Linked DNA regions of Drosophila melanogaster. The gene in region 2 interacts genetically with the main gene of each other region. Each region holds a gene or a part of one and is shown on either strand. Other genes may lie near its edges.

Region 1 (9,328 bases), on a different chromosome or scaffold from region 2:
CCTCGTCCGAGGTTCCGGCCACGTTGCGCATGCGCAGTCGCGTGTTGACCACCCAAAAGGGTGTGGTGGTGAGCACATTGATGATGCCGGCAATGCTGCCCAGGAGCAGATCCTTGAGAGCGCTGTGCTGGGATGGCGAGCCTCCCGATGCCACCGCCTTGAGGGCATGGAATGTGTAGAAGTAGACAAAGTTCGAAATGCAAAGGCTCTGCAGTACAGGACCAAGACCTCGGTACAGGGACTGGAATCCCTCGCCCAGCACGATCTCCTTGATCACTTGCCTTGTACTCCGCACATCGCCGGCTTCTTCCACTGTAAATATTTATTGGAAAAAACACTATAAGTTTTAAGCTGGGGATTCTGAAGCCAAGATTATTTCAGGTGTGTTTGGTTTTCGCGCTAATTGAACTTGTCACGCATACTACGAGTCAGTGATATTAAGCCAACCCTGAACCCTATTATGTTAATTATCCAATTTCTAGAATTAAATTTGAAAACGCTTTAGTCGAATATGCAACCGTGTTGGGTAAATATGGTATGGGCTAAAATTGTCATAAAGCTGCACCTTTAAAAAAATGTATTAAAAGGTATTTCTTTTTGTTTTCGCGAATTTTAGTGAACTTAACTGATCATAATTGTAAGAAGTTTTATTTTACGAGTCAAAGTCCAATGGCTCTATAAAATTGCAAAATTTATGCATTCAGATAATATAAGCTGTTCGTGTACTTGGAAAATGGGAAATAGAGCGCACACCTTGTAAAGTGAACCCTCGATATCACATAGGTATCATATGGGCACTTAATATTGAACGAATTTTGTGTATCAAAATATACACAATGTAATATTATAACTACGTTCACATATGATATCATCTATAGTGTTTGTATATCTTTTAAAATAAACCTTTAGTTATTCCTCATACTATACAGAAAATAATTATCACAATTTTTTTCGCGGCACAGAAACCAGACGCTATCGAATTTCATCTATAACCAGACCTCAAATTGGATTAGCCCGGGCAATTGACTGATATGGACTCTCAAACATATCGTCAATAGAAAGTTTCAAACGCTGGAGTTTGAACTCGCGCACAGATTAATAGGTGCGCCTATATGAATTATCAAAGCGTGGCCCGCTTATCGGGTGATGATTAGTTACAGTCCGATTGTTGAATCCCTGGGTAAACTTACGTTGCAGGCGGGAACGCACTGTATCCAGTGGATAGAAAGTGCTCATGGCGATGCAGCCGCCCTGTGAATAGGTGACCAAATGCAAATTAGCACCGATGCCATCTTGACCTTTAGCCGGCAAATATTTGCCCACTCACCGCAGCTCCGGATACGGCATGCACAAAGTTCTGGTAGCTAAGCACCTGGCTGAGTTTCGAGGGGGCCACCATTCTGCTGTTTGTTTGTCGGACTGTGAGATCTCTAAACTGGGGACTGGAACGTCCGGCGGCGTCTTCGGGCGAGTGTTTACTGATTGACGACGACCCGATCGATCCGCCGGTTGTTGAAAATTTAGCTGCGGCAGCGCTGTTCGCCGCGATGTGTAGATTAGATTAAATTTATCGGCGGCGGAGGAGGCGGTGGCTTTGTTGTGCCTCCTGGATCACGGCGACTTTGTAAATGATTCACTTACATATTCATAATTTCTGTATAGAATTCACATTCATTCACACAGTATGACCAATGTTTGTGGGTTCGAAATATACCATGTAGCTGGAGAAATATACCAAAATATATATACGCACATATGTATATATTTTACAAAATAGACCGTTAACTGGGTTTGTAAAATCTTAAATCTTTCTTAATTTTTTATTAATTATTCCTCATTTTACTGAAATACATACAAATTCCTAATCATAAACTTCCTACATACCAAATTTCACAACAATCGCACATAAAATGTAAGGAATATTCCAATTATAAGGCAGTATAACCAATTTATACTGTTCCTATCTAAAGAAATATAAAATTTAACTTATTTTTATTCACTCCTATAAACTATCTTAGCAGTCTAACTTTTGAAATGTACATTTAAGTCTTAGCTTAAAAGAAGAACGGATCAAAGGAGCTGATCTATTAGGCACTTGTCTCTCCGAGGCTCCAACTTTGGTTTCTTTATGAAGTTTACCCCCGTCTCAGTGCTGCTGTTCAGTATATCGGCAGCTTTTCTCTTTCGATTCTGGAATGTTATTAATTTGGTTTAGAAGGAATCGTAATCAAAAGAACATAGTTAGTTCCCACCTCATGTTCCTCTTCCGTTAGCGTGGCGAAAACGAAGTTTTTCGCCTTCGCTGACTTCACAGAAATAGTGCCCTCCGCGGCATCCACATCGCCGGAGGTTCCTTTTGTGAGTCCTGCCAGTTTGGAAAGCGTCTGCTGGTCCCGAATCAGAAAGGAGCCACGAACAGCGCTCTTCTGCTGCTTGCCAGCTATTGTCTTTGAGATCAGGAATGGAGAATTCTTCTTCACCTCCACAGTTGTCTTCTTAGAGGAAATTATGTTCAGTCGGCGAATGGCCGGCGAATTACCATTGTTACTGGTGTTTATCACGGACGTAGAAAGCGGTGAGGCCACCTCCTAAAAGATTAAAATGTTTTAGTGAATAGAACTAAGAAAATAAACGAGTTTTCGCACCGGTTTTAAACCCTTCTCTAAAAGAAGCTGCTCTCGTTCGTAGCGGATTTTTCGCCACAGATGCTCGTTTTCCTCATCGCCACTGCCGTCGTTTCCTTCACCATTGTCGGTTCGATTATCGTCGAGACTGAATCCGGCCTCCACGTTCTTCCAGCGGAATTGGCGCTGGCGATTCGCTCCCTCTTCCTCCTCTTCGAAGAGCAATTCCTTGATCTTGCGCACTTCCCGAATATCCTGATCCATCATTTTACGCCTGTCAAAAAGAAATGGTTAAAGTATTTTAAAGAAGTAGAATTTTTGATTTACTTACGCATGTATCTGGCCAAGCTCATGCCGCAGTTTATCACGATCGAACTGGTCTTCGTCGCCCAATTCAATGTCGTACTCGTCCATGTTTTTCTCATCCTCGTCGGCTGATCCCCATTCGGATTCAGACAGCTCAGCTTCTTTGTCCACAAAGTTGGCTGCTCGTATTTTACGATCCTTCTTGGTCATCTCCACAACAATCTCATTTTCCTCGGAATCGTAGTCTACAAAGGTTTCCGGAATTTCCTCTACTGGCTCTGCGTCACTTTCCTCGTCGAATTCCTCAACCTCATCATCGCTATCTTCATCATCCGAGAAGCCCAATTTGGCCTTTTTCTTTGGCCTTTTCTTGGTTAGTTTTTTGTTTCTTGGCTTATCGACTTCCAAGGCATCCTCCTGGGCTTCTTCATCGCTGGATACTATTCTGTTCGCTACTGCTGCCGGTACTTCGGATTCTTCCTGCTGTTCCGGCTGTTGAGTGGGTGCTTGCGATGGCAACTGGGTGGCGAAGGTACCAGAACACAGACCCTCCAGTTCATCTGCTGCCTGGCTGCTGCCGCCAAACTGTGTCATGGGAATCTGACTGATCACAGCTGTATCCACCGAAGGGGCGTCGGAGGAAAGCATCTGGGTCTGCGGAAACTGGCCAGAACACAGATCCAGGAGTTCATTCTCCTCGTCGCTGGCCGTGCGTCGGGTCTCCACATCGAAAAGCTTGTGGGCGGATAATTGCAACTGGGTAGCGGTTATGGGAGCAACATTGCTTGGCTTCGGAGTTTGCAGCAGGTCGAGATCATCTTCATCGGAGTTGTCGTCCTCGAATGCTTTAATGATGCGGTTCTTCTTTCTGGTTTGCGTTTCTGGCTCTGGGTTCGCTTCACATTCCTGCTCACTTTCACTGTCATTTTTCTCATCCTCACTGTCTTCAACTGGATTGTCTTCGGGATCTTCGTCTGCATCGTTTTTGTTTTCTTCAGCATCGCCATCATCCTCAGCAGTGCTATCAACTTTATCTATGATTTCCTCATCTTCATTTATAGTTACTTCTGCATAGCCAGGTTTATCTTCCGGTTCGTACTCCTCATCCACATCCATGCCTTCCTCCTCATCTTCTGCCATTTTCTCCTGTTCTTCAGCCTGCTTTTTGCGTAGGTCCTCCATGCGTTTTTTAGTAATCAGGGTTTTGAGATGCTCCTGCATTTTCATGTAACCCGCTCCTGGTTTTGGTTCTTTTGCGATTTCCTCTTCGTGCAGGTGTATGCTCACCTTGGACATCTCCAGCTTGCCATGTTCAGTGGTTAGGATGCTAAAAAAAATGTACCCAAGTTTTAGGGCTGAAAAAGATGGTAAAGTGGGCTACATACTTGACAGTCTCTGTGGTCTTGTGCTTTTTAGCTTCCCGCGTTTTCATCAGACGGTTTAGCAGGTCATCCACACCTGTTGGTTTTTTGGCGAACATATCACCCGTTTCCAGATCAATAACCATGTTGGGATCGCCTTTCAGCGAAGGGCTCTCATCTAAGCTCTTCTCAATCTTCAGCTGGCGAATAACTTCGCTAATCTTAGGAGTTGCTGGCTTAGAGGACGGTGTTATGTTGATGGTGCTCAAGTCCAGCTTGGGCAATTCCACTACTTCTGTAACCAGACAGACTTTGCTGGGGGATTTCGCATTAGTCTCTTGCTGAATTTCAAAATTATCTGCTAATTTCAGGGCAGCTGCAGTAGAGGTGGAGGCAATGGGTTCTTCTTCAGTAATAGAATCTGCAACCATTGCTTCATCACCGACGGTATCATCTGTTTTGTCTTCACCCAGGACAGGTACCTCAATAACTGCTTGGCTGGTCATGTCCTCTGTGTCGTTCTTGGGCTGTTCTGGAGTTTTTGGATTATCCAGCATCTCATCCATAACACCTGGATTGTCTTTTAATTCCATAGGTTCTTCGTTCTCCGAATCATCCTCCTCATCTGACTCAGACTCAGACTTAAAGAACTCGGTAGCTTCTTTGGCACGATCCTCCATAAGTTTTCTAAACAATAGATTAGGTTTAAATTATCTTTTAAAGCCTCATGTAACTTACGCATAAGCCTCCAATTCCTCCCTGGTCATCCGCAGTCCCACCGACTTCCTTGGCTGCCTGCTGGGCATTGGACTTCCTCCAGCCAGAGCCGTGGCCAGTGGAGCGTTGATGGTTCGTCGGCTAAGAAACTCCTTCAGTGTCCTTGGTTTCGGCTGATGATACGGCACGTTGATGTGTGCCTCGCGGTGCAAACGCTGCTGTTCACTTTGGATGGCCTGCATCCCCTCCAGTGCTTTCTTAGCTGATTCCTAATTATATGAAAGTATGTATTAAAATATATTATAGCCATCCTATTAATTAAAAAACTCACGCGAACAACTTTGGCCTTCTTAGGTTTCTCTCTGGAGAGAGCGCTTTCCATTGGGGCTTCCTGTTCTCCTGCAGATTCCTCGGGATTGTCTAGCTCTGGTTCCGATTCCGAGTCCACCAATCCTTTAAGTTTGTTCTTGACGGGACTAACTTCCTCAGCAGTTTCTTCCGGTTCAGATTCGGAGTCCACCAATCCTTTCAGTTTGTTTTTGGGTGAACTGGTTATTTTCTCGCTTTCGGTTTTCGGGATTTCATCTTCGCTTTCACTGTCCATTCGTTGTTTATTTTTCTTTGCCTTTTTGGGAGGTTCCTGCATTTCCTGGTCTTCCTTATCGCTGCCCATTTCCAGCTCATTTTCACTGCTCATTTTCTTAAGATCATGATCTTGATCCACCTTTTCATTCTGATTTTCCTCTGACTCGTCATCGCTCAGTACTTTCTGTTTGTTTTTCTTGGCCATCTTTTTCGGCTTCACTATCTGTTCCTTATCCTCCTTGGTGTCAATATTGTCCAACTTTATTTTCTTGAGTGGCTTCTTTTGCTCTTGGTGTTCCTGGTCTTCACCTGACTCTTCCTTACTGTCCTTATTAGTTTTCTTGGCTGATTTTTTTGTCTTCTGCTTTTGAGGCTCCTGATCTTCTTGATACATTTTAAGGTCTTCACCCGCGTCCTCTTCGTTGTCCATTAGGGAATCTATTTTAGATTTGTCGGACTTCTTTGCCTTTGATTTTGGTGAAGGTTTCTTCTTCTCCTGTTCAGTGCCATTGTCCTCCTTATCATCCTCTTGTTGCTTCTGCTTCTTGGCCAACTTTTTTGACTTTTGTGTCTTTGCAGGTTTCTCATGCTGTTGGTGGTGGTCGTACTCTTCGTTTGTTTGGGGTTTACCATCTTTATTCGTTTGTTTCTTATTTTTGACCACTTTTTTTGGTTTATCCTCCTTGGAAGGGTTATCCTGGTCGTCCTCCGCCTTGTTTGCTTGGGTCTTATTCTTTACCGCCTTCTTTGTCTTATTAGATTTGACAGGTTTCTCCTGATCCTCCTGGTTGACCTGGGATCTCTTCTTCTTGCTTTTGACGGGTTGCTTCCCCTCCTCCTTCTGCGTCTTTTTTTCCGCCTGCTGCTCATCATCATTATCCGAATCTATGATGGCGGATACCTTCTTTTTCGGCCTGGAAACCATCTCCTCCTCCACATCCTCGCTGTTTTTTATGGAATCACCGTTTCCCTGATCCATTGCATCTTCCTCCTGGTCACTGTCCATCATCCTTCGGCGCCTGTCCTTGGGTGATAGGGGCTTTTCCTGGGAGCCATCTTCCGCTTCGCTGTCATCCGACATTATCAAACTCTTGCCACCCAGTAAATCTTCGCCGGAGACCATCTGCTCGTCTTCCTCGTCGAAGACCAGCTTTTCCATCGAGTCGTCGGCCTGCTCTTCATTTTCCGCTGCAGCTGCAGTTTCTGCAAGCGATTCACTCATATTTCTGGGTCACTTGTTTTTTTGTTAATAATAATAAGAAACCAAAAACATTCGAAGTCGCAAACGCACACAATTACACGCAGTTCGATTTTTGGCGCAAAGAGTGTTGAAAGTGCGGGATCAATCAGCTGATGCAGGCAGTGTTGTAAGGCATACTTAATAAACAGGCCTGGCCACATTTGTGTAAAATGATGTAGAAGAAATGAGTCAAATTAATGTATAATAGACCGTTACTTACAGGAATATTAAAAACAAAATTTTACTCAATTTCATAAGGTATAAAAATAATAATAATAAAAATAAAACAAAATTAATGTTGCTCCTTTATTTTATTATTTTCTAAATATTAATTAAATAAACAAAATATATTGAAATTAGAATATAAATTTTCTTAAAATATTTCAAATTTTATTTTGTATTAGAGGAGAATACATACTCAAAGTTTATGGCCACATCAGTTTAAATAGTGAAAACTCTTAAATAGCCATAAATGAACTCAATATCTCGACGAGCTGAAACCTATAAAATGTACATGATTATTCAAACGCAAATCAAGCAGCGTGAACAAATCTCGGACAGCAACTTAATCAGCAGGCTGCAACCTTTCAGCAGTACAGCAATCGAAAGTAATCACCCAGCGGATTTGCATACACTCAGATGAAAAAAGCAGACAAATGGAAAATATCCAGGTGGGTATGCGAGTAGGTTCACCTGTTCCCGTGGTTGTTGTTGCTCTTGTATGTTGGCGAATTGTTGCAGTTGGTTTGATTTTGGTACGATGTCGATGTTGCTACTTGCTGCCATGCTTTCTCCGCATCTCTTTCTGTCTCAGAGGCATTTCTCTTTCACAGTTTCGTGGCTGAAAAGCCAAAAAGCTGAAAAGATCTTTCGACCGAGGGTCATTAAGTAACCCCAAGACGACGAGAGTGGCCTAATGATATACCCTTGCTCCGATATAAATAGCATTAAAATGCAATTAATAATGCTGAAAAACGCATCCAATGCGCAACCATTAACCTCGGTTCAGAGCCTAATATTCAATTAACTTGGCTTTCAATGAAAGCAAAAGCAAAAGGCCCCCGAAAAGCGAAACCAAACCGTTTTAATAGGTGTTAAATTCCCCCGGCTTTTCACTTAATAGGTCTATTCTGAGATCACTCTCGGTCAAAACATAAATGATTAATGCATTTTACAAATGTCTTTGATATTTAAGAGGGACAAATGTTTCACCTTGCCGAATTGCGCAACGTTTGAAAATCCCACACAACAAAGCCATATGTTATTCAACCTTAGAAAGATCGAAAGAAAGCAGCCATATTTCACGAATCCTATGCTTTCCGCTTTGCCAAATTCATAATATATTCGCATGTGGAATCACAGCTTGGGCTTAATCAGTCGTTAAATTAGCATGGCTTGGTAAATATTTGGATACTCTTTTGGAAGAGATTTCTCTCAAATTTTCATATTTATCAAACATATCGATAGTATTTCAATAAGCTTAGAGAATCGCATGAAAACCATGATATTACATAGATATTTGTTCTAATTTGATATTTTCTAAAAAAAATTGATCTTATCATCTTACCAACAGAACTACAAGCTTTAATCCCCAGATACAAGTATTTATCACCATTAAGTCGTCTTTTACAGTCATAAAAACCTTAGGTAATTTTTGCCCCTTATCCAGCAGCCTGATTAAATCATAATGCTCTTGCTTACGACTTTTGAGCTAGGCATTTATAATTTTAAGCTTCAGCTAGCGCACCAATTAGCATACTATATACGTATATTTAAAAAAAACGAATCTTGGTGCCGTCGCACACAATTTCTCTTTCATTTGGCAAAAACCAAAAAAAAACTAAAAACGGTTAACTGTATGTATCTTTCAGACATCTTTTTTCATATCTGTAGCAGAGATTTTGCTTTTGGCCACTTACGGTATTTCTGCGCCTTGTTGTCGCTACCTAATTTGCATACGCACAGTTCACAGATACCACCGAAAACCGAAAAATCACAACTTGGGCCCATAAGATGAAAGTGAAAACACTCGAGTGTGTGCTAAATGCAGAGTCTAATCGAAAGATACACATAATTTCCAACTGTCTACAATCAATATTGATCTTCGCCTCACAATCTCATGGAATTCGAAATGGGATTTCGATCGAAGCAAACAAACAGCCAATGAATACCCCATTTCTTTAGAAAACTACTTTTAGCCCATATTTTCTTTTTGGCAAGACTAAGTGGCTTATGCAATCGCGCGGTCTTAAGACCTTTCAGAGCCTTCAACTGCAGATTTAAGTTGAGTTTATGGGGCTTATGCAGCCACTCTGTCGTTCGCAATTAAAAGCAAATCGTCCACGGAGGATCGCATAAAAAATCGGGGCTGATCGGCTTGTAAATGCCACATGTTTGCGTATATATCTTTTAGCTGTTGTTCCTGGGACCCAGACACGCCTTTGGCTGTCTGCGTCTGGCTTTTCGTTGCCCGATTGAGATTTCTTGCCGTTTTG
Region 2 (5,939 bases):
GTTTGTCCCATCGCAATAATAACAAACTGTGAAAAGAGCAACGAGAACGTCGACTGCGACGTTGGCAGAGCAACTGTAGCAATGGCCATTATGGTAGATGGATAAATGCGCCACGGGGCGTGAGTGAGGGTGGGGAGAGATTGTCTCCTGCACAGGTGCAAAATGTGCGGCGCTGCATCACCCGAATAATGTTGGCAACACTGCAGCGAAACGGGGCACAAATACATACACAAAATGTATGCTACAAGCGTTACGAGAAAAAAAGTCCTAGCTATAACCACCAACAGTTTTAATTTTTTTTGAGTAAAAAGCGGGAGTAAAGAATATGGCGAATAGAAGTTGGAGAAAGAAATCAAATGAGCAGGCAATAATCAACGTGATAATTACACTCAAACATGATGAAGACGAAAACGCAAGCGAGCATCGCACACATACACAAACTTCCCGATGATGACCATTTTTAATTGTATTAGACGGTCGCCGCTCACATTTTCGGATTTGATTTTCGATGTTCTTCGGCAATTTTGCCATTAATTATTCGCACACACACATACACGAACACAGGCGCATAGAGAAATGCACTTGGAACTGCGGGGGAAAAAACAATTGAAATTCGACGGCTGCTACTTTTCAGCTTTTCTTCGTAGTCTCGCGAAATATATTTCTTTTGCTTTGCCGTTTTTCTTTTCGTCTCGTCGCTTGTCTTCTTGCTCTTTTTGCTTTCTCTGTCTTACTCTCCACTCTCCTCTTTGCACATTTTTTCTTTTCAAGTGACTCGGTTTCGACCACTTTTCAAATGCTAATTTTGCTTAAAATACGCTCAACTCCGATCAGATTTGGTGCTTTTCCAGATGCCGGCACCCTGGCAAGCGTTTTAAAGCAATTTTTCTTAATTACTTTGCACTTTAAATTACCGTTTAACGCAAAATTCTAGCAGCAAATTTCAAGACAACGCGACACACACATCAAAGACCTCCATTTTGTTTTGTTGTTGTACGCTAGAGCTGGGACGAAAATCAATGTTGCCAGAAGTCCCGGATACCCGCCAATCGATGGTTCTTCTTTTTATGCCATCGATATATTATTTTAAATATCGCTACTGACATCACTAATGTACAAATGACAACAAACGGAAATATTATTTAACAAACAACTTAAAATTTAACGATAATTAGCATAGTCAATCGGGTATAGTTAGACATGTAGCTGCTGAAGTAAAACTGTCGACCTTTTCCTGGACCCAAACCACGTGCAGCCTAGACCCAAAACCATTACGTTACGTTAGCCGGCTTTCGTCGTAAAATCAAAACTAGCCAACTTATTAAAAAAGCTGATGTATTTTAGTTAAAGGCTACGCCACTTTAAGTCGTTTAATAGCGTGCTCAGTTCCGTCTTTGACTTCAAATGCATCCGCTTTTCCAATTTGCGGTTTTAGACCCTTCATTTCGTCTTCGGTGCTTTTCTCGTCCTCAGAGCTATCCGAGTATATTATGGGACCGTTTCCTTTGAGAAACATGATGGTTTTTCCCAGACGACGCGCCTCAGCCTTCAGGAAAAGTTCCCGGCAGTGCCCGTCCACAGCATTTTTCCCTTGGTCCTCTGATAGGCCGAAGATAAAGGCCCTTTAAAATGTTAGTACCAATTAGACTTCATCTTAAAGGTAATCTAGTTAGCTATATCTTACAAATTAGCAACGTCGTAAGGTCCTCTCAGCTGGAATTCGTGCGCCGCACCACTGCTGAAGATAACGTTCTTGGACTTCCCTTTGGTGCAATAGTTCTGGGCGATCTTTATCATGTCCTTCCTGTTATTCGAATCGCAGATAGATGGAGCGTATTTAATTTCGAAGAACATGCCCCGACGGACTGCCACCTGGTATGCTTTTCGGTTTACCAAGAGTCGGGACCCAGCCACAGGATCAAAAGTTATCAAGTCCCCATTGAAGGCAGTGCAGCAGTGCTTAGATGGTCCGTGTTAAATGATGATTTGAAGGTGGTACTTATAGTGACTTACCGTCAGGGCGGCATCTGTTTTCGGTTGGCCAGCGATGAGATTGAACTTCCGCAGATTATGGGAGACACTCTACAGCAACAAATACAAATTAACTTGCTATTATCCATCATCAAGTGTTCCTACCATCGCGTGGGCCACATTGACGTCTACGTAGAGAATGGTGATTCTCTGCAGGATTCTCAGCTTGTCCTGGAACTCCTTGCGCAGATGCTCGATCTTATGAGGCTCGGGAAACATCTCGGACCCACGTTTGCCCGGATCCTTTTTGCTGTGGTCGAAACTCTGGTCGATGGCCACTGTTTTGTAGCCCGCTGCAACGAGTATGTCGGATGTCGTGGGAATCTTCTGTATGGTCATTTGTTCTCACTCACTTTCCACCAGCTCGTTAAGCAGGGCCCGCAACACGGAGTCGTCCTTGTTGTATGGTATGCTGAAATCGTAAAATGGCCTTGTTTGCTCCATTTTAGGCTTTGTTTTGATTTTCGTTGCCCACAGCGTGCAACCGGTGTTTAGAGTGGCCAGCTTTCGCCAGATAATTGAAACACATTTTAGGGCACAAATAACACGGTCACACTAACAGTTTTTTTTTTTTACATAGGAAACTTTAAAAGTATAAATGCACAAATAGAATGGGTTCGCATAAATTGGCCAATTCAACCGGTTTGGGGTTTGCTTATGAAAGAAACCCGCCATGGAATCAAAAGTTTGAATGAAAACAATCAATGCGGTTTTTAAAACAAGCTTTTTTTTATTCGCAGTCATAGAAACAAAAACAAGAAGGGTGTTTCCTAAAGTACAGGTTTAAGGTCAAAGCGGCTCCTGCGCATCCGTTGGGGCTATCGTCAGGTCATCGTCTGAAGTTCTCGTCACCTTCTGGTGGTCCTGCGGGGCGATGTGCTCCTCAAAAAGCTTGGCCCTGGCTCGGCGGGATTTGATGAAGATCCCGTGACCAGGACAATCGCGATCGTTGTTGTAGCACCTGTCCTTGCAGCACACGCGGCACAGCTGGAACTCGCACTTGGATCCCTGGGGATTGGCGCATTCCGAGCAGTATTCCAGGCGCCTCTCGTGCCGATGCTGGATCTGGGCCTCCGTTTTGTTGGGTCTTCGCTGGCGTCTTCGAAGTTTCTTCATCCGTTTGCGGGAGATCTCCTTGCCGTCCTTGTCGAAGTACTGCCGCTTGGTTCGGTTGGGATCCTCAGCCTCGCGCACCTTTTCGGCAATCTTCTGGCGATGGGATTCGGGTGAGGCGCGTATATATGGTTGACACAGCCAGGGAGAAAGTGGCAGCTTTATTGGGGAATATAAAATATTCGTGTTATTTCAGATCCACTCTATTACAAAGATCCGTTCGAGCAACTTACATCTTCCTCTGATCCAGCAGCCATTTGTTCGGGCTCGTATGGCACCTCGCCCTTGTGGAACGGCTCGTATTTTGCCCGTACTTGTTGCACGACGGCTTGGAATTGCACGAGCTGATTTGCAGTGGCTAGGTATTGCCGTAACTCAGAGTTCTGCCGGATATTCATGCTACGAAATAGAGAATTGATTTTGAAAAATCGGTTTAGGTTCGGTAGTGTAGAGACTTACATGTGATGGAAGAGCTTGAAGAGATGTCCTCGTATAAAGGAACTCGGGCACGGATGGAGCTGAACGAGCTCCAAGTACTCATGGGCCATTTGCCAGACGGGCGGTGAGACTCCTTTAAAGATGGCCGGATTGTGCAGATTACCCTCGGCGCTCATTACACCATCGACTCCTGTTTCAGTCAGACAACGATGAACGTCGTCCAGGGCCAGGATGTTTCCGTTGGCAAGCATTGGAATCTTGATGTGCTGGCGCACATTCTTAATGTAGTTCCAATTAGCCACCCCGGTCAGCGGACCCTTCTGCTCTCTGGTCCTACCGTGGACAGTCAGAAGCTGGCAGCCGGCCGCCTCCAGCATCTTGGCATACCTAATGGTCTTCTCAAGGTCCTCGAAGATGCGAATCTTGCAAGTTACAGGAACGGCTAGTTTTGCGTGCAGTGTGCTCACTAGGATAATATAGCAGTTGCAATCACTAGTTCCATAAACAATCAAAGTAGCCTGTGCTACTCACCAATCTCTGTCAGCAGCTCCCACTCATCCTGCAGGAAGGATCCGTAGTGACCTCTCTTGGCAATGGCCTGGGGACAACCCAAATTTATGTCCACCGCGTCGCAGTGGTCCTGCGCCAGGAGTGCTGCATCCAGGATTTGTTGAGCATCGTTGCCACAGAACTGGATGATCAATGGCCTGTCCTCGGGACACGTCTGCAAGGCATCCTTGCGATACTTGGGGTCTGTGGCGAAGAGGTTCGCATGGTACATTGGCGAGTAGCAGAGTTCGGCGCCATAGCGTCGGCACAGCATTCGCCAGGCCAGCTCGCTTTGATCCACCATGGGAGCCACTACATAACGCGGGGATCCCAAGGAGGAGCGGTAGAAGTTGTATCCGGTGGGCTTGCTAGGTCTTTGGTGCGCGGCGTCTTCATCGTTCACCATGGCAAATTCAAATGAAATCTAAAAAAAAAGATTGGATTGATACGCCTATTGGCAAAAGTTGAAAATATTCCATGCGACAGTGATTATCGGCACCTTTCCCCAAGCCCAAATGACATTAGTCATCCCGCTAACGGGTTGACAAATACCCGCAATGCAGTCTAATATTGTGGCTCATTCTTTACCGGACAGCAGAGGGCTGGATTTCCCAAGGCACCTACGCATTTTCACAACTAGCTAATTAGCGCCACATTAGCGGCGAAAGGGAGCGGCCGAGCGAGCGACTGGGAAAAGCCACGCACAGTTGGGCAAAGCCAAACAAATTTGCATTGAGCTCACACAGGATGAAAACAGAAACGCGGAGCTAAGGGTCGCTGAAAGCCTACTCTATATTTTGTATAATTAGGATAGAATGTCATTTTTTAGATCTTGATAGAATAGGATTAATGCATGCCTTTTGCTCGAACCATCTGATTTCGTCCCGATTACTCTTGAAGACTCGTTTTTTGCATTAATTTTGTAATTTCACTTTTGTTGCATCTGCAACTGCAATTGCAACGTCTAATGTCTAGTGCTTGCTCGAGTTTGCTCCAATTAAATTTCTTCAACGACTACACCGGGTTTTCTTTAATACCTTCTCGTTTCGCTTTCGTTTTTGGGGCTTGGCCCAGGCATAGAAGCGTGAAAATTGCGCTCTAAGTCAATGCACATCAACAAAAGCAACAATTACGAGAAAAGCCGAACACCAACTACTGCCACAACATACAACAATGCGCACACTAATTGAGTTATTCAAGTTGTGCATGCAACTCAAAACTGAAAAGTTCAAACCCTTCTTTCCACCGGTTTATCGAAATTATCGGACTGCGTTGCACTGCATAAGGGGACACACGTAAGTTTAAAATGGTTTAATTGAAAGCATGAGGTCGAAAGGCTATGAATTCCCATTAAGTTAAAATACAACATTTAAGGTAACAACTATTAAAATTTTACCCTTATCAAGGCTGGTAACAAATGTTACCAAAAGTAACCATATGTATAATCACTAGTTCGTGTCCATATTATCCGGCAGTCTATTGGTGACGAAACGCACCTGCTTCTCAGCACATCCAAAAACAAGGTATCTCTGCTATCGCTTGCACAATAAGTTGCACAACTTGGCTCGATTCGAATTTTACTTTGCAGAATCGTAGACAAACGCAGTGAAAAAGAAAAAGTTTTCACATTGAAAGTTTACTGACCGGAAATGGCGTGCAATTTTATCAATGGCGAAGGCCGATTGTCATCTATATAGTAATCTTCTGCCTGCTTGCCAGGACTTTTCAGACTTTCCCTGTTGCTCAGGTTTTTTCGCTGACAATGCGCGGAGCCATTTCAAGGCAATGTCTGTAAGTAATTAAAGTTT

What was found.
Region 1: of Rpp30 (region 2) and Claspin, changing one suppresses a phenotype caused by changing the other (phenotypic suppression), as found in Drosophila melanogaster (one study listed by BioGRID).

What each region holds. Positions count from the first base shown.
Region 1 is NT_037436.4:4,311,122-4,320,449, reverse strand, and holds Claspin (claspin), read right to left. Parts: upstream 6,968-9,328; 5' UTR 6,816-6,967; coding exon 5,340-6,815; intron 5,278-5,339; coding exon 5,030-5,277; intron 4,979-5,029; coding exon 4,316-4,978; intron 4,258-4,315; coding exon 2,956-4,257; intron 2,899-2,955; coding exon 2,646-2,898; intron 2,589-2,645; coding exon 2,253-2,588; intron 2,191-2,252; coding exon 2,071-2,190; 3' UTR 1,842-2,070; downstream 1-1,841. Other genes in the region: PMP34 (peroxisomal membrane protein 34), read right to left, coding at 1-312, 1,191-1,251, 1,328-1,399. UniProt on the Drosophila melanogaster protein: Required for checkpoint signaling in response to DNA replication stress; either resulting from normal embryogenesis or induced by the DNA synthesis inhibitor hydroxyurea (HU).
Region 2 is NT_033779.5:249,843-255,781, forward strand, and holds Rpp30 (RNaseP protein p30), read right to left. Parts: upstream 2,532-5,939; 5' UTR 2,476-2,531; coding exon 2,385-2,475; intron 2,325-2,384; coding exon 2,137-2,324; intron 2,083-2,136; coding exon 2,014-2,082; intron 1,960-2,013; coding exon 1,685-1,959; intron 1,623-1,684; coding exon 1,352-1,622; 3' UTR 1,197-1,351; downstream 1-1,196. Other genes in the region: Dus1 (dihydrouridine synthase 1), read right to left, coding at 2,821-3,303, 3,378-3,543, 3,604-4,048, 4,114-4,537.